Regions from separate parts of the Mus musculus genome. Here regions 2, 3, 4, 5, 6 and 7 are each reported to be linked to region 1. The links are microRNA targets in miRTarBase. Many come from high-throughput screens and were not tested one by one. Region 1 holds a microRNA gene; each other region holds the end of a gene's coding sequence.

Evidence for each region. Region 1 holds the annotated microRNA mmu-miR-466g (AUACAGACACAUGCACACACA, at 1,196-1,216, opposite strand). A microRNA usually pairs through its seed, bases 2 to 8, with sites in the 3' UTR of a target mRNA and lowers its output. Matches are read on the target gene's strand: a 7mer-m8 pairs with bases 2 to 8, a 7mer-A1 pairs with bases 2 to 7 and ends in A, and an 8mer does both.
Region 2: miRTarBase lists Mrpl11 as a target of mmu-miR-466g. Seed matches in the 3' UTR shown: 7mer-A1 at 2,647-2,653.
Region 3: the mRNA of Tapbpl is a reported target of mmu-miR-466g. Seed matches in the 3' UTR shown: 7mer-A1 at 1,183-1,189.
Region 4: the mRNA of Mpv17 is a reported target of mmu-miR-466g. Seed matches in the 3' UTR shown: 7mer-A1 at 2,995-3,001 and 7mer-A1 at 2,530-2,536.
Region 5: miRTarBase lists Spesp1 as a target of mmu-miR-466g. Seed matches in the 3' UTR shown: 7mer-m8 at 543-549.
Region 6: miRTarBase lists Marchf2 as a target of mmu-miR-466g. The part of its 3' UTR that is shown has no 7-base or 8-base seed match.
Region 7: the mRNA of Pbld1 is a reported target of mmu-miR-466g. Seed matches in the 3' UTR shown: 7mer-A1 at 1,579-1,585.

What each region holds. Positions count from the first base shown.
Region 1 is chr2:10,511,790-10,515,857 of GRCm38, reverse strand. It overlaps Mir466g (microRNA 466g), which reads right to left and starts at 1,263; the gene lies at 1,184-1,263. The region is part of intron 10 of Sfmbt2 (Scm-like with four mbt domains 2); the gene reads right to left. It overlaps Mir466d (microRNA 466d), which reads right to left and starts at 3,891; the gene lies at 3,796-3,891. Mir669m-1 (microRNA 669m-1) reads right to left here and starts at 3,068; the gene lies at 2,971-3,068. It also overlaps Mir669m-2, Mir466n, Mir669o, Mir466h and Mir297a-3.
Region 2 is chr19:4,964,066-4,968,133 of GRCm38, reverse strand. It overlaps Mrpl11 (mitochondrial ribosomal protein L11), which reads right to left. Exons shown (of 5, transcript NM_025553.4): 5 at 1,139-3,460. The coding sequence ends at 3,355. Among named protein-coding and RNA genes, the nearest start is that of Mrpl11, 3.8 kb to the right of the region's middle.
Region 3 is chr6:125,221,419-125,225,486 of GRCm38, reverse strand. Tapbpl (TAP binding protein-like) reads left to right here. Exons shown (of 7, transcript NM_145391.2): 6 at 537-623; 7 at 778-1,282. The coding sequence ends at 821. Vamp1 (vesicle-associated membrane protein 1) reads right to left here. Exons shown (of 5, transcript NM_009496.3): 5 at 3,181-4,068. Among named protein-coding and RNA genes, the nearest start is that of E130112N10Rik, 7.8 kb to the left of the region's middle.
Region 4 is chr5:31,138,220-31,142,287 of GRCm38, forward strand. It overlaps Mpv17 (MpV17 mitochondrial inner membrane protein), which reads right to left. Exons shown (of 8, transcript NM_008622.6): 8 at 2,444-3,631. The coding sequence ends at 3,562. Ucn (urocortin) reads right to left here and starts at 676. Exons shown (of 2, transcript NM_021290.2): 1 at 578-676; 2 at 1-314. The coding sequence starts at 301.
Region 5 is chr9:62,268,721-62,272,788 of GRCm38, reverse strand. Spesp1 (sperm equatorial segment protein 1) reads left to right here. Exons shown (of 2, transcript NM_025721.2): 2 at 1-2,060. The coding sequence ends at 364. Among named protein-coding and RNA genes, the nearest start is that of Spesp1, 11 kb to the left of the region's middle.
Region 6 is chr17:33,688,516-33,692,583 of GRCm38, reverse strand. It overlaps Marchf2 (membrane associated ring-CH-type finger 2), which reads left to right. Exons shown (of 5, transcript NM_001252480.1): 5 at 431-1,079. The coding sequence ends at 589. Among named protein-coding and RNA genes, the nearest start is that of Hnrnpm, 5.1 kb to the right of the region's middle.
Region 7 is chr10:63,075,874-63,079,941 of GRCm38, forward strand. It overlaps Pbld1 (phenazine biosynthesis-like protein domain containing 1), which reads left to right. Exons shown (of 9, transcript NM_026701.3): 9 at 476-2,087. The coding sequence ends at 588. Among named protein-coding and RNA genes, the nearest start is that of Pbld1, 16 kb to the left of the region's middle.

The sequences.
Region 1 (4,068 bases):
ATACACACATGCACATGCACACATACATATACACACAGGCACATACACTGGGGGCATCACTAGAATCCGAAGCTGATCCTGGACTCATGAATTTGAGAATGAATTTCCACTCCTGATCCTCCTGACTCTGGCAAGCATTTTCACCTTGTGAGTGAGAGCACCCACTGATCCAGCCCTGCATAATCTCTAAAACTTTAAGTCACATGTCATTTAAAAGTATCAATGAGTGCCATTCGGGGTATGTGTGTGTGTGTGTGTGTGTGTGTGTGTATGTGTGTGTGTGTGTGTGTGTGTGTGTGTGTGTGCCTGTGTGTATGTGTTTGTGTGTATTTATATGTATATTCATATGCACACATACATTAGCACACAAAACTATGCAACATGAACATACACTGGGAAGGAACCCATAAAGCCAGGCTGATCTCTAAGCCATTTTGAAGTTATTCATAAATTTGAACTCCTAATCCTTCTGAATATGGGAAGCTTTTTCACATTGTGAGTAAAAAGTTTCATTAGCCCAATACTACATAATCTTTAAAGCTCTATGTCACACATCATTCAAATGTATCAATGAATGCCATTCCATGTTTGTGTGCTTGCATTTACATGTATGTTTATGGTATGTATATTTATATACACACATGTGCATACACAGGGACGTAAACACACATGCACATACACGGGTGGCATCACATGAATACCAGGATGATGTCCAGCTGAAGTTAAGCATGAATTTGAACTCCCGACCCTGCTCAATCTGTAATATGTTTGCACATGGCGAGTGAGACCGTTCACTGTCCCACTACTGCATAATCTCTAAAAGAATAAGTCACATAGCATTCAAATTAATGGATGAATTCAATTCCTCTGTGTGTGAGAGTGTATGTGCTTGCATTTGTGTGTGTGTGTGCGTGCGTATGATATATATATTCACATACACACAAGCACATGCACACACAAATATACACACATGGACATACATGGCTGAGAATCACATGAATCACAGGCTGATCTTAAAATCATCATGAAGTTAAGCATGAATTTGAACTCCTAAAACTCCTGATTCCAGCATACATTTTGACCTGGAGAGTGAGATCACGCACTGTCCCAGAACTGCATAATCTCTAAAACTCTAAGTGACATATCATTCAAATGGATCGATGAGTGTCATTTGTGTGTGTGTGTGTGTGCCGCATGTGTGTGCATGTGTCTGTATATGCAAAATCATATACATACATCCACATGCACACACACGAAAACACACATCGACATAAATGGGTGGCATCACATGAATGATCTATAACTGAAGTTAAGCATGAATTTGAAATCCTGATTAACCTGACTCTGTCAATCATTTACACCTGGTGAGTGAAACCATTCACTGTCCCCTATTGCATAATCTCTAAAACTCTTAAGTCAGTTATCATTCAAATGGATTGATGAGTGTCATTCTTGTGTCTGTGTGTGTGTGCTTGTGTTTATACGTGTGTGTGTATGTTATGTATATTCAAATACACACATAAACATGCACACACAACTATACACACATGCACATGCATGGAGGAATCACAGGCTGATCTCTCATGAGGATAAGTATGAATTTGAACTCGGGATACTCTTAACTCTAGCAAGGATTTTCACCTAGAGAATGAGAGCACTCACTGGCCAAGTACTGCATAATCTCTAATATGCTAAGTGACATATCATTCAAATGGATCAATGAGTGGCATTCGTGTGTGTGTGTGTGCTGCATGTGTCTGTACATGTATACTCATATATATACATTCACATGCACACACCTGTAAACACACATGCACATACACGGGTGGCATCACATGAATACCAGGATGATGTCCAGCTGAAGTTAAGCATGAATTTGAACTCCTGATCTTCTTGAATCTGCAAATTGTTTACACATGATGAGTGCGACCATTCATTACCCACTACTACATAATCTATAAGACTGTAAATCACATATCCTCTGTGTGTGTGTGTGTGTGTGTGCACGCACGCGCATGCAAGCGCACATGCACGTGTGTCTATGTATGCTCTCATGTATATGCATATTCATATACACACATGTACATGTACGCACACACAAACACACATGCACATACACAGGAGCCATCACATGAATGCCAGGCTGATCTCCAACTCATCATGCAACCAACATGAATTTACACTCTTGATCATCCTGAATCTGGCAAGGGTCTTTACCTTGTGAGTGAGAGCATTCATTGGCCCAGCACGGCATACTCTCTAAAACTCACATGTCACATGTCACATGTCACTCAAAATGATCTATGGGTGCCATTTCTGTGTGTGTGTATATCTGTGCATGCTTGTATATGTTTGTGTGGATGTATATGTATATTCATATACACACATGCACATGCACACAAAACTATACACACATGCAAATATATTGTGGGGAACCCCATAAAATCAGGCTGATCTCTACTCTCTTTTGAATTTATTTATGAATATGAATTCCTGACCCCTCTGAATATGGCAAGCTTTTACATAGTGAGAAAAACTTTCATTTGACCAGTACTACATAACCTTTAAAGCTCAAAATCACATATCATTCAAACATATCAATGAATTCCATTCCTTGTGTGTATGTGTGCATACGTGTGTCCATATACATGTATGTTTATGTTATATATATATATATATATATATATATATATATATATATATGTATATATATATATATATATATATATTCATTTACACAGATGTACACGCACACACATGTAAACACACATGCACATACATGGGTGGCATCACAGGAATACCAGGATAATCTCTAACTGAAGTTAATCATGAATTTGAAATCCTGATTCTCCAGACTTTGTCAATCATTTACAGCTGGTGACTGAGACCATTCACTGTCCCACTACTGCAGTCTCTAAAACTCTAAGTCACCTATCATTCAAATGGATCGATGAGTGCCATTCCTGTGTGTGTATCTGTGCTTGCTTGTATATGTTTGTGTGGATGTATATGTCTATTCATATACACACATGCACATGCACACAAAACTATACACACATGCACATACATTGGGGAGGATCCCATGAAGCCAGGCTGATCTGTACACCATTTTGAAGTTACTCATGAATTTGAACTCCTGATCCATCTGAATATGAAAAACATTTTACTGGTAAGTAAGAAGTTTCATTGGCCAAGTACTACATAATTGCTAAAGCTCTAAGTCACATATCTTTCAAACATATAAATGAATGCAATTTTTTCTCTGTGTGTGTGTGTGTGTGCTTGCATATACACATGTGTTTATGTTATGTATATTCATGTCAACACATGCACATGCACATACAAGTAAACACACATGCACATACATGGGTGGCATCACATGAATACCAGGATGATCTCTAACTGAATTAAGCATGAATTTGAAATCTTTATCCTCCTGACTTTGTCAATCTTTTACACCTGGTGGGTGAGACCATTCAATGTCCCCTATTGCATAATCTCTAAAACTCTACATGACTTATCATTCAAAGGGATTGGCGAATGCCATTCCTGTATCTGTGTATGTGTGCTTGCGTTTATACGTGTGTGTGTATGTTATGTATATTCAAATATAGACATGAACATGCACACACAACTATACACACATGCACATACATGGAGGAATCACATAAATCACAGGCTGATCTCTAAATTCTCATGAGGATAAGTATGAATTTGAACTCCTGATACTCTTAACTCTAGTAAGCATTTTCACTCTAAGTCACTTATCATTCAAATGGATTGATGAGTGCCATCCCTGTGTGTGTGTGTGCGTGCGTATCTATGTGTGCGTGTATGTATATGTATATTCATATACACACATGTACATGTACGCACACACAAACACACATGCACATACACAGGGGCCATCACATGAATGACAGGCTGATCTCTACCTCATCACGCAGTTAACATGAATTTGCACTCCTGATCACCCTGACTCTGGCAAGGGGCGTCACATGGTGAGTGTGACCTCTCCCTGGCCCAGTCATACAGAATCTCTAAGACTCTAAGACACATATCATTCAA
Region 2 (4,068 bases), not on the chromosome of region 1:
GTGGCAACCAATGGTTCTCCCCAGATACAACACCATGAACAACCTCAACAAACAGCAAGGCGGAGCTAAGGCTGCAGTAGTGGCGCCTCTTCCTCGTTGGTAACCAAGGATTCTAATTGGACTTAAGCCCCACTCAACACGAGGGAGACAACGCCTGGAATGGGTAACTTAGCCAACTACTCGGAGCTAGTGAACCCATGGGTCTCGAGTAGAGTCTACAGCCACTACTTTACTAAACCAGCGTAATCCCTAACCAAAGGGAGACGTTTGTTCTTACGCCCACAGATAGAGTACTCCTTACCCCTTAGCGAGGAAACTTCTCTTTGTAAGACAGAAACCAGGACAGAAAATCGCAACCAATCAAAATAGAGTTGTGGAGGCCAGCACCAATGGGCGCATCTACGAAACATTCTCCAGCTAAGGCTCAGGGGACATTTCAGAAGAGGGGTGAGAATGTTGTAAGAGCCAGAGGACGAACGAGGAGGTTTACCGTAAGACTGTGTCTTCCAGTAGTTGCAGAAGCTATACTCGAAAGCCTCCCCAACATGACTATCTAAATATGAGCCAAACAGCGACAGCACAGCGGACATGCCAAGGGGGGTGAGGGACGCCGGGAGGCCCCGGCCTGACACACAAGCAAAGGCAGCTAAGGAATGCTCAGTCTTCCCTCGGGACGAGCATGCCAGCTGGTTAGCCAGTTCCAAATGGCCAGCTCTGAAAACCTACATACAAGTAACATCACACAGGCTGAGCAGGACGTTAGAAATATATATGTAGGGCTGGTGAGATGGCTCAGCGGGTAAGAGCACCCGACTGCTCTTCTGAAGGTCCTGAGTTCAAGTCCCAGCAACCACATGGTGGCTCACAACCATCCTTAAGGAGATCTGACTGGTGTGTCTGAAGACAGCTGCAGTGTACTTACATATAATAAATAAATAAATATTTAAAAAAAAAAAAAAGAAATATATATGTATATACCTATATGCAAAAGGTAACTGATGAAAAAAGAGGCCATGAATGTAAGAGAGCAGAGAGGGGAATAGGAAAGGGTTGGGAGGGAGAAATAATGTAATTATATTATAGTCTCAACAGTAAGAGGTAATAGTGTGTAAAGACATATACCTATATATAATAGATTATACACGTAATAAAAGTTTTAATTGTATTAGTAAACAATGTTGAACTATTAATACTATGTGAAAATTTGACTAAATTGTTCAGAATGTTAACAAGCAAAAAATAATGCCCAGCATGCAACACACGGCAAACACAGACTTCATCTTTCCTGTCAATTCTGCCTCTCTTCTGAGAGAACACTTGATGTTTTGTAGAATGGGAAAACAGGAGGTCAAGGGCCCCCAAGGACTTCTCAGGCAGGTCAAGGGCCCCCAAGGACTTTTCAGGCAGACCAAGGGTCCCCAAGGACTTCTCAGGCAGACCAAGGGTCCCCAAGGACTTCTCAGGCAGACCAAGGGTCCCCAAGGACTTCTCAGGCAGGTCAAGGGTCCACAAGGACTTCTCAGGCAGGTGTCTACTGGAATTTCACTTATGTAGGTCTGGGCTGTGATTCGGCTGTTCTCCCTGACCCAGGGTAGATTCACAAGCTTGGCAGAGGCAGAGCTGAGAGGGACACAGTCCTGGCTCTGGCTGAATGAGGCCCTGGGTTTCATCTCCAACAGCATTAAAACAAAACAAAACAAAACAAAAACAAAAAAACCAGCAAGTTTTGTTTTATAGATTTACTACGTAGTGTTTTGCCTGCATGTATACCTGCAAGCCAGAGGAGGGCACCAGATCTCACTATATATGGTGATGAGCTACCATGTGGTTGCTGGGAACTGAACACAGGACCTCTGGAAGAGCAGCTAGTGCTCTTAACCTCTGAGCCATCTCTCCAGCCCCAAATGGCAAGTTTTAAAAAAGCAAATAACCAAACTTAGTAAGGAGCCGGGTGGGGTAATGCACACCTTTAACTGGAGCACTGAGAGGTCAGGCTGTAGCCTAGCCAGCCAGTTTCAGGCCAGCCAAGGCTAAATAATGAGATTCTGCCTCAGAAACAATCATGTCAACTCAGCAGGGAGGCCTGAAGCTGCCCCTGGATAAAGGATAACCCTATCTGTGGTCTGAATTCTCTGTCAGGCTCCTGCTTCTCAGATACAAACTCCCCAACAGTTATACTAAGAAAAGACAAGCAACACAGCCAAGCCTTAGTGTCTGTGGACCCCATCGACTGTGCCTTCTCTCATCCCCGAGGGAAGAGCACAGGCTTATGTGCTCTGAAGTGTTGGGAATAGAAGTTGAGGCTTTGTGTAAGGAGCAGCTCCATCAGGAAACAACATCTTCAACCCTGAACATAGGATTTCTCCCTGGGCTCTACTCCACTTGTACCTACTCAGAGCCTGAATGTTACGACACGTGCCCCGGAGGCTCATGGGCTGAAGGCTTGCTTCCCAGTGTGGAAGGTGGTGGAATCCTTAAGAAGTGGGGGCTATGCCCTGTATGGTGGTGCAAGCTTTAGTCCCAGCAATGTGGAAGGCAGAGGCAGGTGGATCTCCGTGAGTTCAAGGATATCCAGAGATCCTATCTCAAAAAAGGGGGATAGAGTAGAGAGATGGCTCAGGAGGTAAGAGCACTTGTTTGTTGCTCTTACAGAGAACCCAGGTTCAACTCCAGGATCCACATACTGGTTCACAACTACCCATAAATCCAGCTCCAGGGGATCCAATACCCTCTTCTGACAGACACCAAGCATGCACACAGTGCACTCACATATATGCAGGCAAAACAGTCACATATAAAATGAATAAATCAAAGTGTGGTCTGGCGGAGGGGTCTGGGAGTCCAACCTTCACTAATGTTGGCCTTAAGGCGGGGACTGGTCCAGGTGAGGCTACCTCACACAGATGGCCCTATGTATGTGACTGTTTCCACTGTACCATGCTGTCATACAGCAAGTGAGCCTTGCCATACTCCAGCACCATGAATCAGAAGCCAAATCAATACCTTTTCTTTATAAAGCACCAAGCTTTGGTTATTTTGATATAATACAAGGCTGACCAAGGCACTGGGCATGATAATTTGCTTGGTTGAGGCTGCGTTCACCTGTAGGGCAGCTCACACCTGTGAAGGCTGGGAACTGTCAGTATTGGTCCCCATCTCTGGGGTCTCAGGAGAGAAGCTGAGAGTTGATGACAAAGGATATTTATTCAGGCTTGATCCCCTGGCACAGCAAATGTACAGAAACATGTCAGGAAACTAGAAATCGGGTTGCCATGAAGTCCTTTGGCTCAGCTTCCTCTGTGGCCCCCTTTCTCAGCCTCTCACTTCAAATTCTCAGAGTGTAGAAAGTTGGGGTCACTTCTTGGCAGCTTCTGCCTGGGCTGCCAAATCTGCCTCTTTCTGAGCAGCCAAAAACACAGCTCGTTCCTTCTGGAAAGCCTCCAGTTCTTCTGCACTGAGGCTACAGAAGGAGACAGACAGTCAGTGAGGAGCGGGTCCTGGCGCAGATCCCAGCTGCCCTGTCCACTCCCCTCCCTGGACTTTCCAACTGTCATACCTCTACTCATCTGTGGTTTCTCTTCCTGGAACCACAACTCACACACGCTACCTTCCTCTGCCTTGACTCTGTCTTAAAGTCCTACCTAACCTGTGGCCTCTATTATACCATTGGGATTTCTTAGGCCTTCCTTTGAGCCACAAATCTACATACTTTAAGGATTTAAACCATCCAGGAAAACTGTGCTCTAACCTCACCCCCGTGAGGAACAACTGACGCCAGTCTTGCTGTAGGGAATGACACCAGCAGCAAGCGGCCAGTGATGACTGTCCCTGCTCCTGTCTCTGCTGCGCTCTGGGGCAAATGCTCTCCTACTTGACAAGGGAACCTTCTGACTCGTCCCTCCCTCAGGCCACATCCCATATGCCTCTAGACAAGACTCCTCGACCAGAGTGAACTTAGCTTCAGCTCCTTCCCTCTCCTTGTAATCTTACGCTCTCTTACCCTCCTTTTCCTGGGCAGTTTCCATGTCACCTCCCTCAGAGTCCTCAATGACACATCAGGTAAAAGCA
Region 3 (4,068 bases), not on the chromosome of region 1:
ACACACACTTCATCCCAAAGGCCACAGAATGCTGCAGTTTCAGGCAGGAAAGGATGTGCACCTCACAATGAAATATCCAAGAGCTCCAGACCTATTTGGTTGCTCGCTAGACTATGAGCTTCCCCAAAGCTTGCCTTTTGTTTTGGCTCACATCATTCCCCAGCTATTTGCTGGTAGTCACTGAGATAGCCTCATTCTCTTCTGTAAAACATTTTCAAATGTCCTGAGATAGAATAGGGTCTAGTGGGGTGTGCCTATAAACACAGCACTAGAAGGCTGTGGCAGGACTCCTAAGTTCAAAGCCAGCTTGGACATCATGAGGCCCTGTCTCAGAATAACAAAGCCCCGATGGAGTAAGAGGCAGAACAGCAACACACAAACTTGAGAGTCTTGAACAAGTGCAGTGCTGCTGCGTGGGCAGGCTCCCGTCCTTCCGTGAGGATTCACAGCACCCAGGCCAGAGCTCCCCTCCTAAGGGGAGGGGTACTGGAGGGTGAGGGCTCAGCATGTGGTCTTGTGTTCATTCTCACCCACAGAGCAGAGAGGAACCTTGGGAGTCATCTTTGCCAGCATCATCTTCCTTTCTGCGCTGTTGTTGTTTCTGGGACTTCACAGACAGCAAGGTGAGTTTGTAGATCAACCTACTCTCAGGTATCTGCCCACCCAAACCAGGGATGAAGTCCAGTGTGCTGAGTTCCAGATGTTTCTACCATACCCCCAACATCTGCTTTTGGAATTATCCCTATTGAAAACAATCTTGTTCCGTTTTTCTCTCAGCTTCTTCATCAAGGTCCACCAGGCCTATGAGGCATTCTGGGTAGCCGCCTGCCTGCCTCCGAATACAAAGTAAAGTACTCCACATCCTGGCTACTTAAAGGACCCCGTGTGAGGTGTGGGGCTGAGCTGGGCCTGAAGGTGCCAGCACATTGGGAGTGCAGTACTGGCCCTGGACTGTACAAGTCTCTGCTTTCTGTGCTATTGAGAAGAGAGCCCTGGGCTGATGAAAAGGGACAGGACAAGAGGATGGCAGAATTATCAAAGTGGAAGCTAACACCATCTATGTGAGGTATTAAGAAATCGGGGGTGGGGGCTGGTGAGATGGCTCAGTGGGTAAGAGCACCCGACTGCTCTTCCGAAGATCTGGAGTTCAAATCCCAGCAACCACATGGTGGCTCACAACCATCTGTAACGAGATCTGACTCCCTCTTCTGGAGTGTCTGAAGACAGCTACAGTGTACTTACATATAATAAATAAATAAATCTAATAAAAAAGAAAAAAAAAGAAATCGGGGGTGGGGGGACACACAGGGGAGGGTTACCTAAAAAGGGCTTTCCTTCTCAAAGGAGAAAGGGAAGGAGGAATGGGGGTGGGTCTTCATGCAGAGGTACTAGAAGGAGAGAGGGAACTGATATTGGAATGTAAAATGAGTAAATGAAAAAAAAGTCAGATGTAAAAAAATTCTCTTAGAAAAAGGATCAAAGTGAGGGAAGCGGGAGAGGCTGTGACCACTCATGAATGCCAACACTGTCAAAATAAAAACATGCTGTGACTACAGCGCACTTTCTTCTCTCTCTCCCTGTTGGTTCCAAAACATTCCTAGCTGCTCCAACTCCCAACTCGTTGTTTCAAGGTACGAAGCAGAGGCCCTGGGCTACATCTGCACCGTTACATCATCAGATATTAGGGTTCTGACCCTTCAGACAGCTGCCAGGAGTTTTGGGAGAGTTATACAACACTCCCTCAGCTGCACGAGAGCTTCCTTGTGCTCACTGCTATGAAATACCTTATGGATACAGTGCATCCGAGCCTATAAAGACCATGAATTATGATGTCTGTTATCAAAAGTAAAGTGGGGGGCTAGAGAGATAGCAACCCGTGGATAGGAGCGCTGGTAGATTTTCTACACAACCTGGATTTGGTTCCCAGAACCACATGGTAGCTCACAACCATCTGTAACTAATTCCAGGAGTCTAACGCCCTCTTCTGTCTTCCTAAAGCACCAGACATGCATGTAGTACTCACACATACATGCTAGAAAAACAGGTATATGCATAAAATAAAAACAAATGCATCTTTAAAAATATCTGTGCATGAGTGTGCCTGTGTGTATGTGTACCACACGCACCCAGATGCCTGCAGAGGTCAGACGGGGCCCTGGATCCCCTGGAACTGTAGCTACCTACAGGTGTTAGTGGCCATGTGGGTGCTGCAAACGAGACCTAGGTCCTCTGAGAGTTCTCTTTAGTAGATCTATTTATCTTACCATTTTATGTGTGTTGAGTGTTTTGTGTGCAAGTGTGTATGTACACCACCTGTGTGCCTGGTACCAGGAGAGAGTGTCAGATCCCCGGGGACACACAGAGGGCTGGGGTCGGGGTGGGAGGTTGTGATCCTCCATATAGCTGCTATAAATTGGACCCAGGTCCTCTGCAGAAGTAACAAGTGCTCTTCACTGCTGAACCAACTCTCCAGCCCTAAATTAAGATTTTAAAAATTAAGTTGTGAATGATGGTGCATGCTTTAATCCCAGCACTCAGGCAGCAGAGGCAGGGGGATCTCTCTGAGTTTGATGACAGCCTGGTCTACAGAGTACATTCCAAGGCAGCCAGGGCAACAAAGAGAAACCTTGTCTCGTGGGTGGGGGGAAGGTTTTCTGGGTTTAGAAGCTAGTTTTTGCAGACATTAGGAACAGACCAATGTCTTAAAAGGAGGTGGGGGAAGGGCTGCAGAGATGGCCCCGTGGCTGGGGCACTGGTTGCTCTGGGGAGGATCTGGATGCCAGGCACACACATGTTGTAAATACATACATGCAAACACTCACACGCATACAATAAACAGAACTAGATCTTGAAGTGAACTTGCTATTTCAGAAGAATTAGTATGGAGAATCTACTTACAAGGCAAGCACAATGGGGCACACTGGAAACCCTGTCTTGAAAAACTAAAGAAAATAGAAATGAAGCTGAAGAGGGGAACAAATCATGCATGAGGACCAAGGAGGTACGGGCTGGAAGCCTCCCCCAAGAGGTGACAAGCAGGTGGAGAGGCCTGGGAGGGGCTGAGAAAGCCTGCAGCTGTCTGCTAGCATTTGGTGCCCACTCAGCTTCCTGTCAGCACTTCCTCTCACCAGCACCTGCAAGCCTGGCTGTTTCAGGTATGAAGGCTAAGACACAGACCACTTCCGCTGCCAACACAGAGACTTTAATCTCCAGGAAGAACAAAGAATACACACATCAGCCCTTCTGGCCTAGAGCCAACATAGGACACCACCTTCCTCTCCCCCTCCCCAGCACAGCCCAAACAACAATCAAGTCAATGTTGTGGTAGGAATTTGTATTTTTCGCCTTTGTTGAGAATACATGAGATTGGTAAATATGTCACATGCCTTTGGTGGAAGTACAACTCTTACTACTATACATAAACTGTGAGACTGGGTTAGGAAAGAGACAGAGGTAATGACAGACACGATGGAAGCCCCACATCATCCCATGGCAAACAAAGAGGAGATGTGGGAAGCTTGGCTTCAACTGACTGCAAAGTCCCAGGGTTAGCTGCATATTTGCTCATGCACATGGGTGGTGGGAGGGAGAGAAGACTGCAGAGACACAGAAGGGGGTTCAGGGTGAGGTGAGATAGAAAGTAGAAGGACTAACACCCCCAGAAGAACGAATGCCAACTACACCTAAGCCTTAGATGGACAGAAACCCAGGAAATAATTCCCGTGCTGGGGCTGGGTGGGCCAACAGGGAACATACGCTCCAGGCTTGGGACACACCAAGGACAGTGTTGCTTCTTCTCCAGAGATGGCTCCCTGCACTAGGCAAAGGGAAGCCCAGAGCAGAGTGGAGACCTTCGGGGGACATTGGGAGGCTACACTGACTGCTTTCTTCCAGCTCTTCAGCCCTGCCCTGAGGCAGCACGAAGGGAAGGTGGAAAATGGGCCAAGGGAAAGGAAGGATCGATGGCTCTGCAGAACGAAAGGCTGCTGCGTGGGAAGTGGACCCCCGGCCTAGCACGGCCCTGCCTCCTCCAGTTTGTGGACCAGAGCACAGAAGGAATAGAGGTCT
Region 4 (4,068 bases), not on the chromosome of region 1:
CTAGCTCCAGCAGGGTCCGCAGCAGGTGGAAGGTGAGGTCGATGGACAGTGGAGGGTCGTCCCGTCGCTGCCGCTCGCCCGCAGGCTCAGATCCTGCGCGGCGCGGGAAGCGCTCCGCTAACAGCAAGAGGAGCGCGCGGACGCCGCCGCCCTGATTCCGCACTCCAGGGCTCCATCGCAGATTCGGATCCTGGACCCCAGTTGCCGCCGCAGCCGCTGGGCTCCACTGGCTGCTCTCCGGGCGAAGCTGTGCCAAGAGCAGCAACGCCACCAGGAGCGTAGCGCGTCCCCTCTGTATCATGGTGCCGCCTGCCCTGGACACACAGGGGCAGCATAGGGTGAGGTGCACTTGGAGCAGCCGCAGGTAACACGAGCCCCTTGGCGCGCACGCCCAGTGCCCCTGCCGAGACCCTCCAGCTGTTGCCTGGTGTCCACATCCTGCCCACCAGCCCTAGGCGCTGTGCCAGTCCAGTTCCACCCCTCTCTCCCTCCTTCCCTCCCGGCAGGTCACAGTGGGTGGGCTGAGTGCAGAGTCTTGGTGGTAAGGGAGTCTGGATCGTTGCTTCAAGCCACTCACAGGTTATCGGAGTGTCTGCCCAGTGCAAGATGGAGCTCCACTCTGTCCCCGGGGACGGGCTGAAGACGCCTTGGGGAGCACGGGGTCTGTCCCGGGACCGCCGCCAGCCTTATATAGCACCAGGACAGCTCCGACTGACGTCAGCGAAGAACATGAACTGATTGTAGAAACAATGACACCGGCAGCTTTGAGTCCAGCAGCTTCGAGCCCCCAGAGGGGTGCGTATCCTGACTTTGTGTCCCTGGAGCTATCTTTGGAAGCACCCTGGCTGTAGAGGGAGAAGCTGGCAGAGCCATAAAGATAGATCTTCCGGATGCAGAGTCCTTCCCCGACACAGAACCACCAATGTCTCCAGAGCAGGAATAGTCAGGGGTTGTTTCTCTTCTCAAGTAGAGAGGGAGGACTGTGGAGCTGTCCGTGGTTCCGAACTTCTTCACAGCCACAATCTGGACAGAAGTTCTGGGGAGAAGCCTGGGCTGCTTAGACACGGTCCCTAGGCCGGCTACTGGGTCCTCAAATTGAGATCAGAAATGCTCTGCTGGCAGGGGCTCAGACAACACAGTCCCACCCAAAGGCTCTCCAATACAGTGGGTCTGACCCATTCTACTGACCATTGTACAGCAGTACAAACTAAAATCTACAGGTGTCAGAATGGCATAAAAGGGTGTTTGGCTTTCAGAACTTAACGTACCTCCTGAGTTTGGCAAAGTCAGCTTTTTCCTAGGAAACACAGAAACAGTACTATTATACCTTTTTACCTTCTAGGTCAGGAGCTGGGGTGGTGCTGGTGCACTCCTTTAATCATAGCACCCAGGAGACAGAGGCAGGCAGATCTCTGAGTTTGAGGCCAGACTGGTCTACTGAGCTGGTTCCAAGACTACACAAAGAAACCCAGTTTTGAACACACACACACACACACACACACACACACACACACACACACACACACACAAACACACACACGAAAACGAAGAAATCACTAGGTAGAAGTGAGAAAACTTTGGCCCAAGTTCCTCCTCTGCCACCAGCTTGTGTAGTCAGGTCCCTCACTTCTGAAACCATTGGCGTCTGTCTTTGTAAATGAACAGCCTCTGCTTCTTTCCAGTTACAGACAGGTCTGTGCTCTTCTGAAGGGTCTTATTCATAGCCACTGCAGATCCCAGATAATAATGTATCTATTTCTGTGCCTATAAAGTCCCTGACAGGGTCTCGAAAGGCACTAGGACCTAGAAAAGTTAAGCGTGATAGCCACTCTAGTCTAGGGATGTTGCTTAGTTGTTAGAGCACGTGACTAGCATCCACAATGCTGAGTTCAAGTCTCAACTCTAGACAGGAAGTTGTATCTATACAGAGTGGGGACGTGTGCTAGCTATTGGGACATAGGTGTAAAGTTGGCAAGGTCATATTATTCTACAAATATCTGTGAGGAATATACTATGTGGTGGGAATGTAGACAGTCATGCTGCATAGCAACCTTTTAGTCAGTGATGGCAACACACAATGGTGGCTTCAGATAATCATAGCGGAGCTGAAATATCCCTACCACATAGCAGCATTAGTTCTTATGTCTCAGTTTGGTGCATTATTCATGAATCTGCAATAATGCTGGTGGAAACAGACCAAGCTGGCAGTAATATGGAAGTATATCTTGTGCAATTATGTACAGCGTATACATCTTAATGACAGTGTTCTACATATGAAAAAGCTCTCTGTAAAACAGTATACCATGTCAGACTGGCAGCAGAAAAATACACCACATGCTTGTGCACGAAGAGGCCATGTTGAGCAACTGATTGTTACCATCTGCATAAGTATACTCCTTATGTGTGCACAGTGACAAAACTGCTAAAGACACAATTCTTGTTTGATTTTAAAAAAAGATTTATTTATTTAATGTATATGAGTACACTGTAGCTGTCTTCAGACACACCAGAAGAGGGCATCAGACCCCATTACAGATGGTTGTGAGCCACCATGTGATTGCTGGGACTTGAACTCAGGACCTCTGGAAGAGCAGTCAGTGCTCTTAATCACTGAGCGATATCTGTAGCCCAAGACACAATTCTCTAATCCAGCATTTGAGAAGCTGAGAAGCTGAGGCAGGATTGTCACTAGGTTGAGACTGACACAGACTTTCATTTTTTTTTTTTTGGTTTTGTTTTTTTGTTTTTTTTCCTGACACAGGGTTTCTCTGTATAGCCCTGGCTGTCCTGGAACTCACTCTGTAGACTAGGCTGACCTTGAACTCAGAAATCTGCCTGCCTCTGCCTCCCAAGTGCTGGGATTGAAGGCATGTACCACCATGCCTGGCTTCCAGGACACAATTCTATATTAATTAATTAATTATTAATTAATTAATTAAATATGAGTACACTGTAGCTGTCTTCAGACACTCCAGAAGAGGGCGTCAGATCTCTTTACAGATGGTTGTGAGCCACCATGTGGTTGCTGGGATTTGAACTCAGGAGCTTCTGAAGAGCAGTCAGTGCTCTTACAGGCTGAGCCATCTCTCCAGCCCCCAGGACACAATTCTTATAGTGTGTCCCCATCAGCTAAGGGCCAGAGTGACAGCAATATTATAAATGTCTTAGTGGTTAAAGTGAAATGTGCCACTTCAGAGTGGTCACCCTATTCTGATCAGCAACCCCATAGCATGGAAGCTGACACACTCCTTCCTTTTAAAGATTTCATTGTGTGCTTAATTACAAATGCGTGTCTATTCGTGGGTATATACATGTTTGTGCAGGTGCTTCAGAGGCCAGAAGAGAACATCAGATCTCCTGGAGCTTGAGACATAGGGAGTTGTGAGCCACCCGATGTGGGTGCTTGGAACCAAATTTAGGTCCTCTGTAGAGCAGATAATCCGTGCTTCTAACAGCTGAGTCACCGCTCCAGTCCTGATGTGGTTAGTTTGAAGAAGCTGTCCAAGCATTCCAGGGTCACGGTGCATCAGTACAAGGTGCAAACCATGGAACAAGGCACGCTTAGAACTGATGTGCCTTCCAGGATAGGTAGGAGTTCCAGACAATAGCAACACACTGGACAACAGCCAACCTAAGGGACAAGAATGCTACTGTGAAGAAGAGAAGGAGCAGGGTAGGGAGAGCAATGGAAAGGACTTACGCAGGAAGTTCCAGGTTTGGGCTGTGTTCCTCTGAGCCCCATGAGTAGGGACTGCAGCTTCAGACCAGGAGACAACCAGTTCAGTCCTGCTCTATCTCAGAGCTCCGCCTGTCAGATGAAGGCCTCACAGCTCACTCCTTTTCCTTATTAATTTTGTCTATGTGTGTATGTATGCACATGAAAGTCAGAGGACGACTCTGGGGAGCCGGATCTCTCCTTCTACCATGTGGGTTCCAAGGCATGGGCTCAGGGCATCAGGTCTGGCAGCAAGGGCTCTCACCCACTGAGTCATATCACCCATCCAGCAGCTCTCTTTCAATAAATGACTCGTCTACCTAGACCTTTCCAAATATATCTGTATACCTTAT
Region 5 (4,068 bases), not on the chromosome of region 1:
TAGTCCCGAGTTCAAGGAGTTCATCAAGGCCTCCAGGGAGCACCTGAAACGGAGCCTGGCCCTGGCCGCAGCCGCCGAGCACAAGTTGGAACAGATGTACGGATCTAACGTCTTCCCAGAGGGACGTACCAGCGACCCAGACAATGACATGGAAATGATTATCAATATGCTGTACAACTCCAGGTCCAAGTTGTCAGATTATTTCAATATTAAGCGTGTACCATCAGAGCTGAGAGAAAAGGCTTCCGTCGTGAATGCTGAGTTGAGAAAAATATTATGTGTGGATCAGGTAGAAATGCAAAGCCTCATTAAGAAGCTGTTAAGCAATAATATGAAAATCCTAAATATTCTTAATGTCCCATGACCAAACTCATGTAAGCAAAGGACTTGTTCACAGGAAAATAAGCATAGTGATTTTTAAAGTTGCCTAAAATATTTTCTACAATATTTTCCATGTGCTAACATCCTTGTATGTCATATCATAAAATATTTTCATATGCACTAAAATCCTAAAAATTTTAAAATAAAAATTTGCTTTGTGAGTCTGTAGTTTTTTTTCTTCTCACTAATCTAAGCTGTGAAGAGCTGGCCTTACAGTGTTTTGGATTTGCTTCTACTTAGTTCACAGGCTGCTTGGGCTGGGTCAGGGTTAAAAGAACTGCTTACAGTTTTGAACCCACTTTCAGAGCATCTGCGTTTTCTGTATGAATGGTACACTTGAGGCTGATGTCGGAACTCTCCCATGTGGGTGCATGTTGCTTCTTTGGAAAGTGGGTGATGTACTGGGGTCATTATGGGGGACTGGATCTGTGATGAAGGCCATCCTCACAATTTCCTCCCTGGCCTTGCATACAAACACATTAAAGATTTACAATCTTTTGATAGCAAGTATGACTGATACCGGTTAAGTTAGACATTCAATATAATAACGAAAGTGCAGTTTTGTTTCATGACTTGGCCAGTATTATATTCAAGTTCATTTACTTAGCACTCAGGCTCTCACTAGCACTCAAGCTAGTCATTTACAGATCAATAAAGATTTATTGACCCTCTGCTAGAACAAAATGCTAGGCTTTGGGGATAGAGTGAAGAGCTATGTCCCTCTCTCTTTGAGAGTATAACAGGGAAGCTAGACTTTGAACAAAGATTTCCATATTTTAAATTTTCAGTTGGGACGAGCTATTATGAGAAGTAGCTGTCTAACTTCATCTAGAATATCAAGAGAAGTAGCCTTAGGCGAGTGGCATTTGAGGGGAGGTCTGAGAGACGAGATATGCTTGGGGGAAGAGAATACTGCAGGCACAGGAAGAACGTGTGTAAGTGTTGAGCTGAGGCCAAGGGTAGAAGGTTCAAGAAGTGCCAGAGAGAATATTCCAAGACAGAGCAGGCACAGAAGGCCAGAGAGAAGCTGGCAGGCTTTGTGCTGTGCATTAACCATTTCACCTTTATCTTGTGCTCGGCTTTGTATCAGACACCAACCAGTGTGTTTAAATGTAACACTCTGGCTACAGTTTTAGGGGCAGACTGAGGTGGACAGGAGCTGTGCTGGAGCCAGATCTGCCTTGGATTACATGGGAGGAAGTGACAAAAGCCAGAACAAACAGAACCAGTGACTGGGGGAGTAACGGTGACCAGACTGTGGTATAAAGTGATACAGAGGTTTGCTTTCACAAAACCACTGTACACCGTGCTTTTTTTAAAAAAATAACTTACTATGAAAAACTTCAAGCATTGCAAAAGTGAGCCGTAACATGGTAACAGTACAGAGTCATTACCCAGTGTGAACAGTCGTGTTCTAATGGGCAGTAGTCTCTGTCTGTCTAGCCCTATGCTACCCCACTTCCTGTATGCTCAACTGGATCCTCAAGACCATTTCATCTCTAGCTGCACCACGTGAGGCTCTCTCAGCTTTTGAAGAACATTTGCAAATGTTTCATAACAATACCATCACGTGCAGTTAATGGTATCTAGTCAATGTTTATAAAGTGATTAGACAATGGGAAATTTGGAGTTTCTTTGTATGAATCAAGATCAAATAAAGTTCACGCATTGCTACTGCCTGACTGGACTCAGAGTTCTCTTTTAATCGAAAGATCCTTTCCACTCTCCCCTCCCCCTCCACTTGAAACTTCTTTATTGGAAAAATGGACATCAGCGCTATCCTTTCCCACAGCATGGATCTGGTGTTGCACGTAGGTTGTTGCTAGTCTGTTTTCCTGTCCTCTGTATTTTCTTAATTCACTTTTGTTTATTTATTGTGTGTGTGTGTGTGTGTGTGTGTGTGTGTGTGTGTGTGTGTGAGACCAGTGGACAGAAGAGGGTGTCGGATCCCCTGGAGATGGAGGAATCCACAGTCCTGAACCACCTGCTGTGGATGCTGGGAAGGAATCAAATTGCCTCCTCTGGAAGAATAGCAAGTATTTCTCATTACCTGCTGAGCCACTGGTCCAGCCTACTCTGTATTTTTTTGTAATCCAGTGAATTAGTCTAGAAGCATTTTATCAGTGTGAAGCTTATGTTTTTGCTTTCTTCTCTCTCCTGTTTCTTTCCTCCTTCCCTTTTTCTATGGTGTGTGTGTGTGTGTGTACATGTGTGTGCATGCATGTGGAAACCAGAAGTTGACATCAGGTATTTTTCTCAGTCATTTCCCTAGACATTTTTCCTTTGTAAAAGATTTTCTTTTACGTGTGAGCGTTCACACAAATGCATGTACATGCACCACATGCATGCTAACACTGGCAGAGACGGAAGAGGATATCAGATGCCTCAGAAGTGGAGTTCCAGGTGCTTATGAAGACAAGTGTGGATCCCGGGGTCCACACCCAGGTCCCATGCAGGAGCAGCAAAGTTAAGATGCTCTTAACTCAGAACCGCCCTTCTCCAAGTCCTCCAGACACTTTGTGAGGCAAGGTCTCTCCCTGAACCTGGCTGACTGGTTTGCTAACTTGCCTGGCCTTTGAGCCCCAAGGATCTTGTCCCCACCTCCACAGCTCTGGGTCATAGGTACACCTCCTGCACCTGTTTTGTTTTTGTTTTTACATGAATTGCTGGGAGCCAAGGTCAGACCTGTGTGCCCTGTGTGGCGGGCAATTTGTCCACTGATTCATCTTGCAATGTTTTCTCCTTTCTTGGCAAGACAGTGCTTCCTTACTTCATTTGGCTGAGCATTTATTTTTCAGACTTTGATGGCCATTACTTAGATAGTTGCTAAGTAAATTAATCTGGTAATATCAAGTGTTGATATTATGATTTTTAAAATTGAAACAACTCTACAAAGAGAAATATCTAATCTATCATGGGATTCTTCAATAGTCCATATATCAAATGCTTAGATACTTTTCTTTAAAAACAAAATCAAAGATGAGGGACTGGAGAGATGACTCAGAGGTTAAGAACGCTGACAGTTCTTCCAGAGATCCTGAGTTCAATTCCCAGAAAGCACATGGTGACTCATAACTATGAGGTCTGGCACCCTCTCTGACCTGCATGCATACATGCAGGCAGATCACTGTATATACATGGAATAATTTTTAAAAAAATTAAAGATGACTTCAGAGACTATTATTATGCTGTTGTTTTGAGATAGAATATCCAGGGCTGTATTCCAAATGGCTACATGATATAGCAAAAGATGACCTTGAACTTAGGATCCTCCTGCCACCAATTCGTGTGTGTGTGTGTGTGTGTGTGTGTGTGTGTGTGTGTGTGAGGGGGGGGGGGTATAGGCAGCTGCCCTTCCCCGGTTTCTTCATCCTCTGCAACTTGCTTTAGAGTGCTACATTTGTTACAGTTGATGAGCATATACTGACAATTGGTATCAGCCTCATTCTCTTTGATGTAACATATTCTTGCTGTTGGGGCAGGTGGGAGGAAACACTGTCATATACTTCACAGGACAGAGGGCACCAACCAGCATGTCCCGCTCTTTCAGTCTCCTCGTGTATTTATACACAATGCTCCGGAGTCTTAGTTGTGTTTATGAGTTTGTGATTTGCGGCCTGGGAAGATGGCTCAGCAAGTAAAAACATTTGCTATTCAGGCATGAAGACCAGAATCAGATCTCCAGCA
Region 6 (4,068 bases), not on the chromosome of region 1:
GGGGATTTGAACTTATGCCCTCAAGCAAGTTCTCTTACCCATTGAGCCATCTTCCCAGTCCAGTAAATGCACCATCATTTTTATCCTCTTACCTAAGAAGAGACACCTTGGTTGCTTCCAGGTTGGGCAATTTTGTGATTGGTTGGGGTTAAATAATCCCAAGAGACTGTTAAGGCTCCATTCTCATCAACTGTTAGAGTCATGCTCCCTCCTGGGATCAAGGTGGTAGATCCCTCATGTTTACAGGACTCGGAGCGTATCAGAGTATCCTCAGAGGACCGAATGGGTGAGTGTATGCATAGTATTCAGGAAATGCCCAGAGGTGGCACTGCTTCTAGGTTTGGCCCATGACAAATGCCAGGGCTCCCTTTCCTCCCCAGGGTGGAGGCCTGTCTCTACCTCCCCACCCACTGCAGGACTGCCCCCGCAGGTCTCTTTCCGATACCATTGCCAGCTGTACTCGGAATGGAGGAAGACAAATCAGAAAGTCCGCCTGAAGATTCGGGAAGCAGATGGCTCCGAGGATCCACATCACTCCTTGCTGGCTACTGGACTCTTAAAAAAGGTGGCAGAGGAGACCCCTGTGTGAAGGCCTGGCTGGCAGGGCTCAGAGGTAGTAGACAGACCAGAGTCAGATGGCAATGCAGCTGGCATTTGGAAAGATGGAGGCTGCCTGACTTTTCATGCACAGCTATGATGCTTCTCAGGCCCGTAGCCACAGCCAGCAGAGCCTGCTCTGTGATCCCGTGTGAACATATTTTCAAGGGTTTTGTTTTGCACATTGTTGTATATGACAAGCACAGATGGACAGATTTGAGCTTTGGATGGAGTAGGCACCTCTGTCTCATTTTGAGATCTGTTTGACACCTTTTGCACAGCAGCTTTAGCGCTGGTGTCAAGGGCGCCCGTTGGACTAGAAGGTTCCAGCAAGCTTCTTGCGTTACTCTGCACCTAGCTGGCTTGCTTTACTGGCACTCTTGACTTATAATCTTATAAAGTTGCACTGCATTTCAAAAACCCACCCCTGAATGAATAAAAGGAGCCCTTGCTGGCTAATATGGACGCATCAGTTATGTTTCTAAGCTGTTCCAAGCGAGTGATTCTGTGGGGGCACAAAGTCTAAAATGCTTGGCTTGTTCTGTGGGGACTGTATGAAGCTTCTTTTCTTCTCTTCTCTTATTGCTATGATAAAGGACCTGAAGTGGAGGGACAGAGATGGCTCAGGGGTGAAGAGCACTGGCTACTCGAGAAAAGGACTGGGGTTTAATTCCTAGTGCTCTTCACAGCTTGTAACGGTCTCCAACTCCAGCTTCAGGGGATCCAGTGCCTCTTTAGGCTCCCATAGACGCTGCTCACATATGGTGCAATACATAAGTGCAGGCAAGATACTCATACACATAAAATACAGTTTTTTTTTAAAAAAAGTAACTTAGCCCTGGGACTAAACCACCACTCAAAGAAAACACGTGGTGGGACTCATGGCTCCAGCTGCATATGTAGCAGAGGATGGCCTAGTGGGTCATCAATGGGAGGAGAGGCCCTTGGTCATGTGAAGGTTCTATGCCCCGGTATAGGGGAATGCCAAGACCAGGAAGCAGGAGTGGGTGGGTTGGGGAGCAGGGGTAGGCGGGAAGGGGATAGGGGATTTTTGGAGAGGAAACTAGGAAAGGGAATAACATTTGAAATGTAAATAAAGCAAATATCTAATTTAAAAAAGTAATGTAAGGGAGAAAGCACTTAGTTTTAGCTCACAGCTACAGGTACAGCCCCTCATGGTAGGGAAATCAAGGCATAATTAAGTTGGGTATTTCTATATCAATCAGTACAATCAAGATGATCCCCATAGTCATCCCCCGAGAGGTTCATCTCACAGGGGACTCTAGATTCTGTCAAGTTGACAGTTAAATCTAACCAGCATGGAAGCCTAAAGAAAAAATAAAGTCAGAGTTGTTGTTTTTGTATTTTTTTTTTTAAATAAAGACTAGGATTCAGGACCTTGGGAGACAACTCAGTAGTTAGAGGGCTTGCTACACAAACATGAAAATTTCCCATCTCTATAACCTATATAGATCAGTAGTGTGTGTGTTTCTGTCCTCTAGGAAATCCTAGTAGCAAGCTGGCTAGCTAAACTAACCATATGGGCAAAGCTCTAAGTACAGTTGAGACACCTTGCCTTAATGTATAAGGGGGAGAAGATGAGTGAAGACACCAACATTAGCCTCTGGCCTCTGCATGCACATGCACAGGTTTGAACAGGCATGCACTTGCACATATATGAGGGAAAAAAATAAAAGAACAAGAAATGAGGTTAGCTTATTTTTTATTATCATGTTAAAATGTATAATAATAATAATAACTATTATTATTATTATTATTGTTATTTTGCTGGAAGAGGTCAGAAGAAACCTTACTAGTAGAGCAGAGTCTCTCCTACCTTCATGTGGGCTCCAGGGATCACACTCAGGCTATCAGGTTTGCACAAGTGCTCTCATCCATTGACAACCCACCCCCCACCCCCGCCACTGGCCTGGGCAGGATTTATGGTGAATGATCTTTTAAAAATATTTTGTAAAGATTTTATTCTTGTGTAAAAGTGTTTTGTTTTCCCTGCATATAAGTGAGTGTTCCATGTGTATGCAGTGCTCAAGGAAGCCAGAAGAGGCCAAGAGATTCCTTGGAACTAGATGGAGTTAGAGATGGTTGTTAGTTGACATGTGGCTGCTAGAAACAAAACCTCTGTCTTCTAGAAGAACAGCAAGTGCTTTTAACCACTGAATCATCTCTCTGGCTACAATAAATGATTTTTTAAAAGTTATATTAAGCTGGGTATGGTGGCGCACGCCTTTAATCCCAGCACTCGGGAGGCAGAGGCAGGCAGATTTCTGAGTTCAAGGCCGGCCTGGTCTACAAAGTAAGTTTCAGGACAGCCAGGGCTATACAGAGAAACCCTGTCTCGAAAAAAAACCAAAAAAAAAAAAAAAAAAAAAAAACCACCAAAAACCAAAACAAACAAACAAAAAAGTTATTTTAGCTGGTGATATAGTTCAGTGATTGAATATTTGAATAACAAAGACAAAGTTCTGGGTTAGATTCCCAGGATCATTAAATAAATTAAGTTTTTAATATAATTTTAGTGCACACATACACAGAAACACACACACAGTCTCTGAGTAGCTCTGGCAGGCTAGAATTCAAAGAGATCCTCTTGCTTCTGTCTTCTGAGTGCTGTAATTACTAAAGGTATGCATCACCATGCCTGGCAATACATATATTCTCTCTGTCTCTCTCTCTGTCTCTCTCCCTATGTATATAATATATATATGTTATTTATATATACATATATATTTTTAAATGCTACTGGGGATTGAATTTGAGCTTCACATAGTCTAGGTAAATGATCTACCATGGAGTGATATACTCAGCAACAAATGACTTTAAGAGTAAACCAAGTTGGGGGTGGGTGTGTGTGCTGAAGAAATGGCTCAGTGGTTAAGAGCACTGGACTGCTCTTTTATTGAAGAGGACCTGGGTTTGATTCTCAGGATCCATGTAATGGCTCACAACCATCTGTATCTCTAGTATCAGGGGATCCAACTGATACCAAGGATACACATGGTACCAAGACACACAGGTAGGCAAAACACCTGTACACATAAAATAAATCACAAAGGGCCTTTTGTGGTGGTGCATATCTTTAATCCAGCACACAGATTTAGAGGTAGGCAGGCAGATCTTTGTGAGTTCGAGGGCAGCCTGAAATACATAGCAAATTCCAGACTTCCCATGGCTTCATAATGAGATCATGTCTCAAGGTAAAATAAGCCATGTGTGGTGGCATATACCTTTAGTCCCAGCCAAGAGGCAGAGGCAGTAGGAGCTCTTTGAGTTCAAGGCTAGCCTGGTCTATATAGGGAATTCCAGAACAGCTTAAATATTTTATCTTAAACAACAGTGACGACAATGGTAACAACAATAAAACAAACAAAAAGCAAATTAATAATAATAATAATAATAATAATAATAATAATAATAATAATAAAAACTTGACAGTATACCAGGGCCATGTAT
Region 7 (4,068 bases), not on the chromosome of region 1:
TCTTCACCCCTGCCTCCCCAAACACAAATAAGTGCTTAATAAGTGCTTGATGAGTATAATTAGCTTACTATGTAACTTTTGAGAAGGACAACCCCTTTTCTCTCCTTTGGGTGAGTATAATGACTTTCTGAGCCCCTGGAAGACTAGGGCTGTGCCTCTTTTGTGACCTGGCACATACAACTGCTTTAATATGCAATGAAGAAACAAACTCACTCTATTCATATCAGAGCTGAAGGTGGGACCTTCTCAGAGGCCCAGGAAGGAAGGTCCGGCAGTGTGTGTGCCACTGTGTGTGGAACTCTGGGGCTGCAGGAGAATGGGGTGGAGGTGGGAGGGGCCGCGGACACAGGGAGGGGGGCATTTATCCTGGAAAGTGGCCTGGGAGGCGTCTTGGGTTTGTTATAGTCAACCCTGCCCTGGGTGGTAAATCCCAGGGGAAATGCTCTTGATTGGCACCAGGTTGTGTTCTCCTCAGCCTTTCAGTGTTCCCGCCGAGGAGGGGAGCTGGACATTTCCCTGCGACCTGATGGGCGCGTTGACATAAAGGGCGGAGCTGTTATTGTCTTGGAGGGCACGCTGACCGCCTAGAGATGCTCCTGCTGGGCTTGGGGCCACTGTTCCACAAGTGTCTTCTCTAGAGCCCAGAACCCGACCCAACCCAACTCAACAGCAGATGCACAGAGCTTGGTTCAGTCGTCGTGTGAACCCAAAAGGGAAGACACCTGATGGAGGTGCGGTAGTGTCTCCAGAATCCTTTCCCGATGGTGGGCTCTGAACTCTGCCTGTGTGTGCATCTTCAGTCCCCACAGCAGATAGGGATGCTGCCCCTTCTTTTGATCATGACTGCCAATCAAAGTGAGAGGTGCACTGATAAGGAGCCAGAGAATGCCATTTCAATTGAGGTATGGGTACCTTAGGGCATTTCACAGCCCTTTAGAAGAATAAATAGGTGTGTAGAATGTTGTGTTGCCAAAAAACATTTTCTCTCCGCCCCCTAAGGTTCCAAAGACCAACCAAGGCACACCACCACCAAAGCTCCCCTAGGGCACCAATGAGTTATCAGACTTCTTTACAGAGCAGAGGTGAAGGTTTCCTTACAGCGGTGTGGGTTCCATCCCCTAAAATGTGGCACCAGAAGGGCTTTTACATAGCATCAATGGTGACCTTCCTATAGTGGCACAGATGGAGCCCAGCTCCCCTAATCTCTGCTGGCCTGTGTCCTCCAGCCTCTTTGAGGCCATGTGCAATTAGGGCAATGTTGCATACATAGGAGGTAGTGAGTGGCTGGGTTCTCAGAGGAGGCCCCGTGATCTCCCCATCCCTCTATGAGGAGATGTAAACAGTCGCCAGACCCAGCTGGCATGATCTTTGGCAAGTGCGCACAGCTGAACTCCTGAAGATGGAAGTTGCTTGGCTCAGGGTATGGTCCTGAGCAACATGCAAAAGTCCATCTCCTGATGTAATAATACTAGGAAAGATGAGGGGGCTGGTGAGATGGCTCAGTGGGTAAGAGCACCCGACTGCTCTTCCGAAGGTCCGAAGTTCAAATCCCAGCAACCACATGGTGGCTCACAACCATCTGTAACATGATCTGACTCCCTCTTCTGGAGTGTCTGAAGACAGCTACAGTGTACTTACATATAATAAATAAATAAATCTTTAAAAAAAAAAATACTAGGAAAGATGAGTAGACTGAAAACTGTTGGAGGCTGTGCTGCAGGGCTGGGGTACGTAGGACCGTATGGGCTGTGAGGTCAGCAAAATGAAACAGTTCATGCTGGGGGACAACGTAGAGTAATTTCAATGAGCTAAAAAAAAAAGAGTTGGGGGCTTGCTGAGTGGCTGAAACGCTTGCTGCCAAGGCTGACACCCTGAGTTCGAATCCTGGGACCCATATGGTAGAAGCAGAGATCCAACTCCTACATGCTGTCCTCTGACCTACGTACACATAGGTGCTATAGCATGCACACATCCACACCTATACATGCATACCCCAAACAAATAAATGTAATAAAAATAATTTTCTTTTTTTTTTCACTTTATATGTTGGATGTCATCTGTTGTAATTATTAAAAAACAATCTACTCTGTCTCCGGCTACTCTCCAGCCACGGTGGTCTCCCCTCCCCCATGGCTATCCCCAACTTCCCCGAGGCTCGCTCGGCTCGCTTGCTGCTGAACTGCTCAAATTCCCAATCATCTGTCCCTTGTGGCTAGTCTCTAACCCCCCCCCCCCCAGCCACGAATAAAGAAAACTCTTTATTCGTGCTTGTAATTGATCAGTCAGATTTATAACAGTAAATTCTCAACCCCCAAAATGCCCACTCAAAGAACTCAAAACGCGAGTTATTGATACAAGCTGCCCACCTTGATTGGACCAATTGCCTTATCTTACTCTACGGCTCTTCTGTGCTATCCATAGCTACCTGTGGCCATTTCAAGCCACGTGGATCTAGCTCATCTACCTCTCCTATAGGTTCCATCTTGTCTCCTTGTCTCTGTCTGTCTCTCTGTTTCTCTGCAAAACTCTCAGCCCACCTTCTTTTTCCACTGTCCAATCACAGAATCTAGCCTTATATTTTACTTGCCCTCATCTGCGTATAGACAACAATCTACACTAAAACTTAGGAGAATCTCAGAAAATGAACAGAAGAAAGGATGCCTTTGTGTGGGCTGGGGGTGGTCCAGCAAGTAAAGCCCTTGCCGCTTTGGATACCTGTAATCCACACAATGACAAGTGGCTGGAGTCCCCACATTCATTTGTCAAGATGAAAGAATCCACCTCTCACTGACCCCTATCCTTCCGTCCCCATTCACCACCCCTCCCCACCTACCTCGAAACTCCCAGGCCAACTAGTTTGGCATAGAAGGTACAGTGGCAAACACCTAGAGAGGCTCAGCCTCAAACAAGGTGGTAAGTGAGACCGAGGACTGTGGAAACTCACTGCCATTCTGTCAGGCACAGGGGTGCACACCCCTAATCCCAGCACTAGTCGGGCAGAGGCGGGAGGATCAGAATTTTAAGGCCTGTTGCAGCTATGCAGCCAGTGAATTTGAAGTCAGCACGAGCTTCCGGAGACCCAGTTTCAAATGCCAAAAACTACACCAAACCGGTTAGAATCTATAGAAAGGACTCGGGAATCCCAGAAATCGTAAGTCATCCCTAGCACAAGAGAAAGGGGAGGGGGCTCCTGGAGAGCGATCCCTCCATCAGCATCAGCACCATGTGGGAACTTGCTAGAAAAGCAAAATCACTGTTCCAGATCACCTGTGTCTGGAGCGCTGCGGTCTGGGGCTGATACTTTGACTTTTAACAAGATCTCTAGGTGAGGGGTTAGTTTGAGACCCACCTTGCCCTGGGCCTTCCAGATGTATCAGCCATTTACACGGCTCCCAGGACAGTCACCTCTGATGACATCTAAGCTCAGAAGATCCCTGACTGCACCATATACCTGCTGCTTAAAAGCATACTTCCTAGGAGTTGGTTTACTGTCAGCTTCCAGCGGGGCCTGGCTTGGAGACATTAGCTGTGCTCAGGTGGGAGCTGTTGGGTAAAGTGTTAGCAACAAATAGATAGTTAAGCAGCCATGACTTATTCATGATGAGTTCATTATACCTGGCCGTGCACCTCCGCTAGCTAAATGGAGCTTTAAAGGAGTTACTTTATTAATTGTCATGGTGCTAACTGCAGACACAGAAGGATCGCTAATTAAACATGCAAACCGTATGCAGCACGTTTTGGGTTGCTGAGGCCACGGAAAACCTATCTTTTTTTTTTTTTTTTTAAAGGGGGAACCAAAACAAACTTTATTTTATGCAATATTAAGGAGTTCCCTTGGCAATGCTAATTAATCACAGTGATGCCCTCCAGCAGGAATAGACTCCATACACCAATATATGTACAGTGGTCTGGCTAGGCTCTGTTAAGAGGGAACATGTTTGGTCTTGCACTACAATTTGTTTATGTTTTCTTCTGTTGTGATTGACCTCCCTGGCTTCCAATTTTGGGCTAGGTATACATTTGGTGTTGGTGGGATGGCTCAGTGGAGTGGTTTCCGTGCAGTCGTGA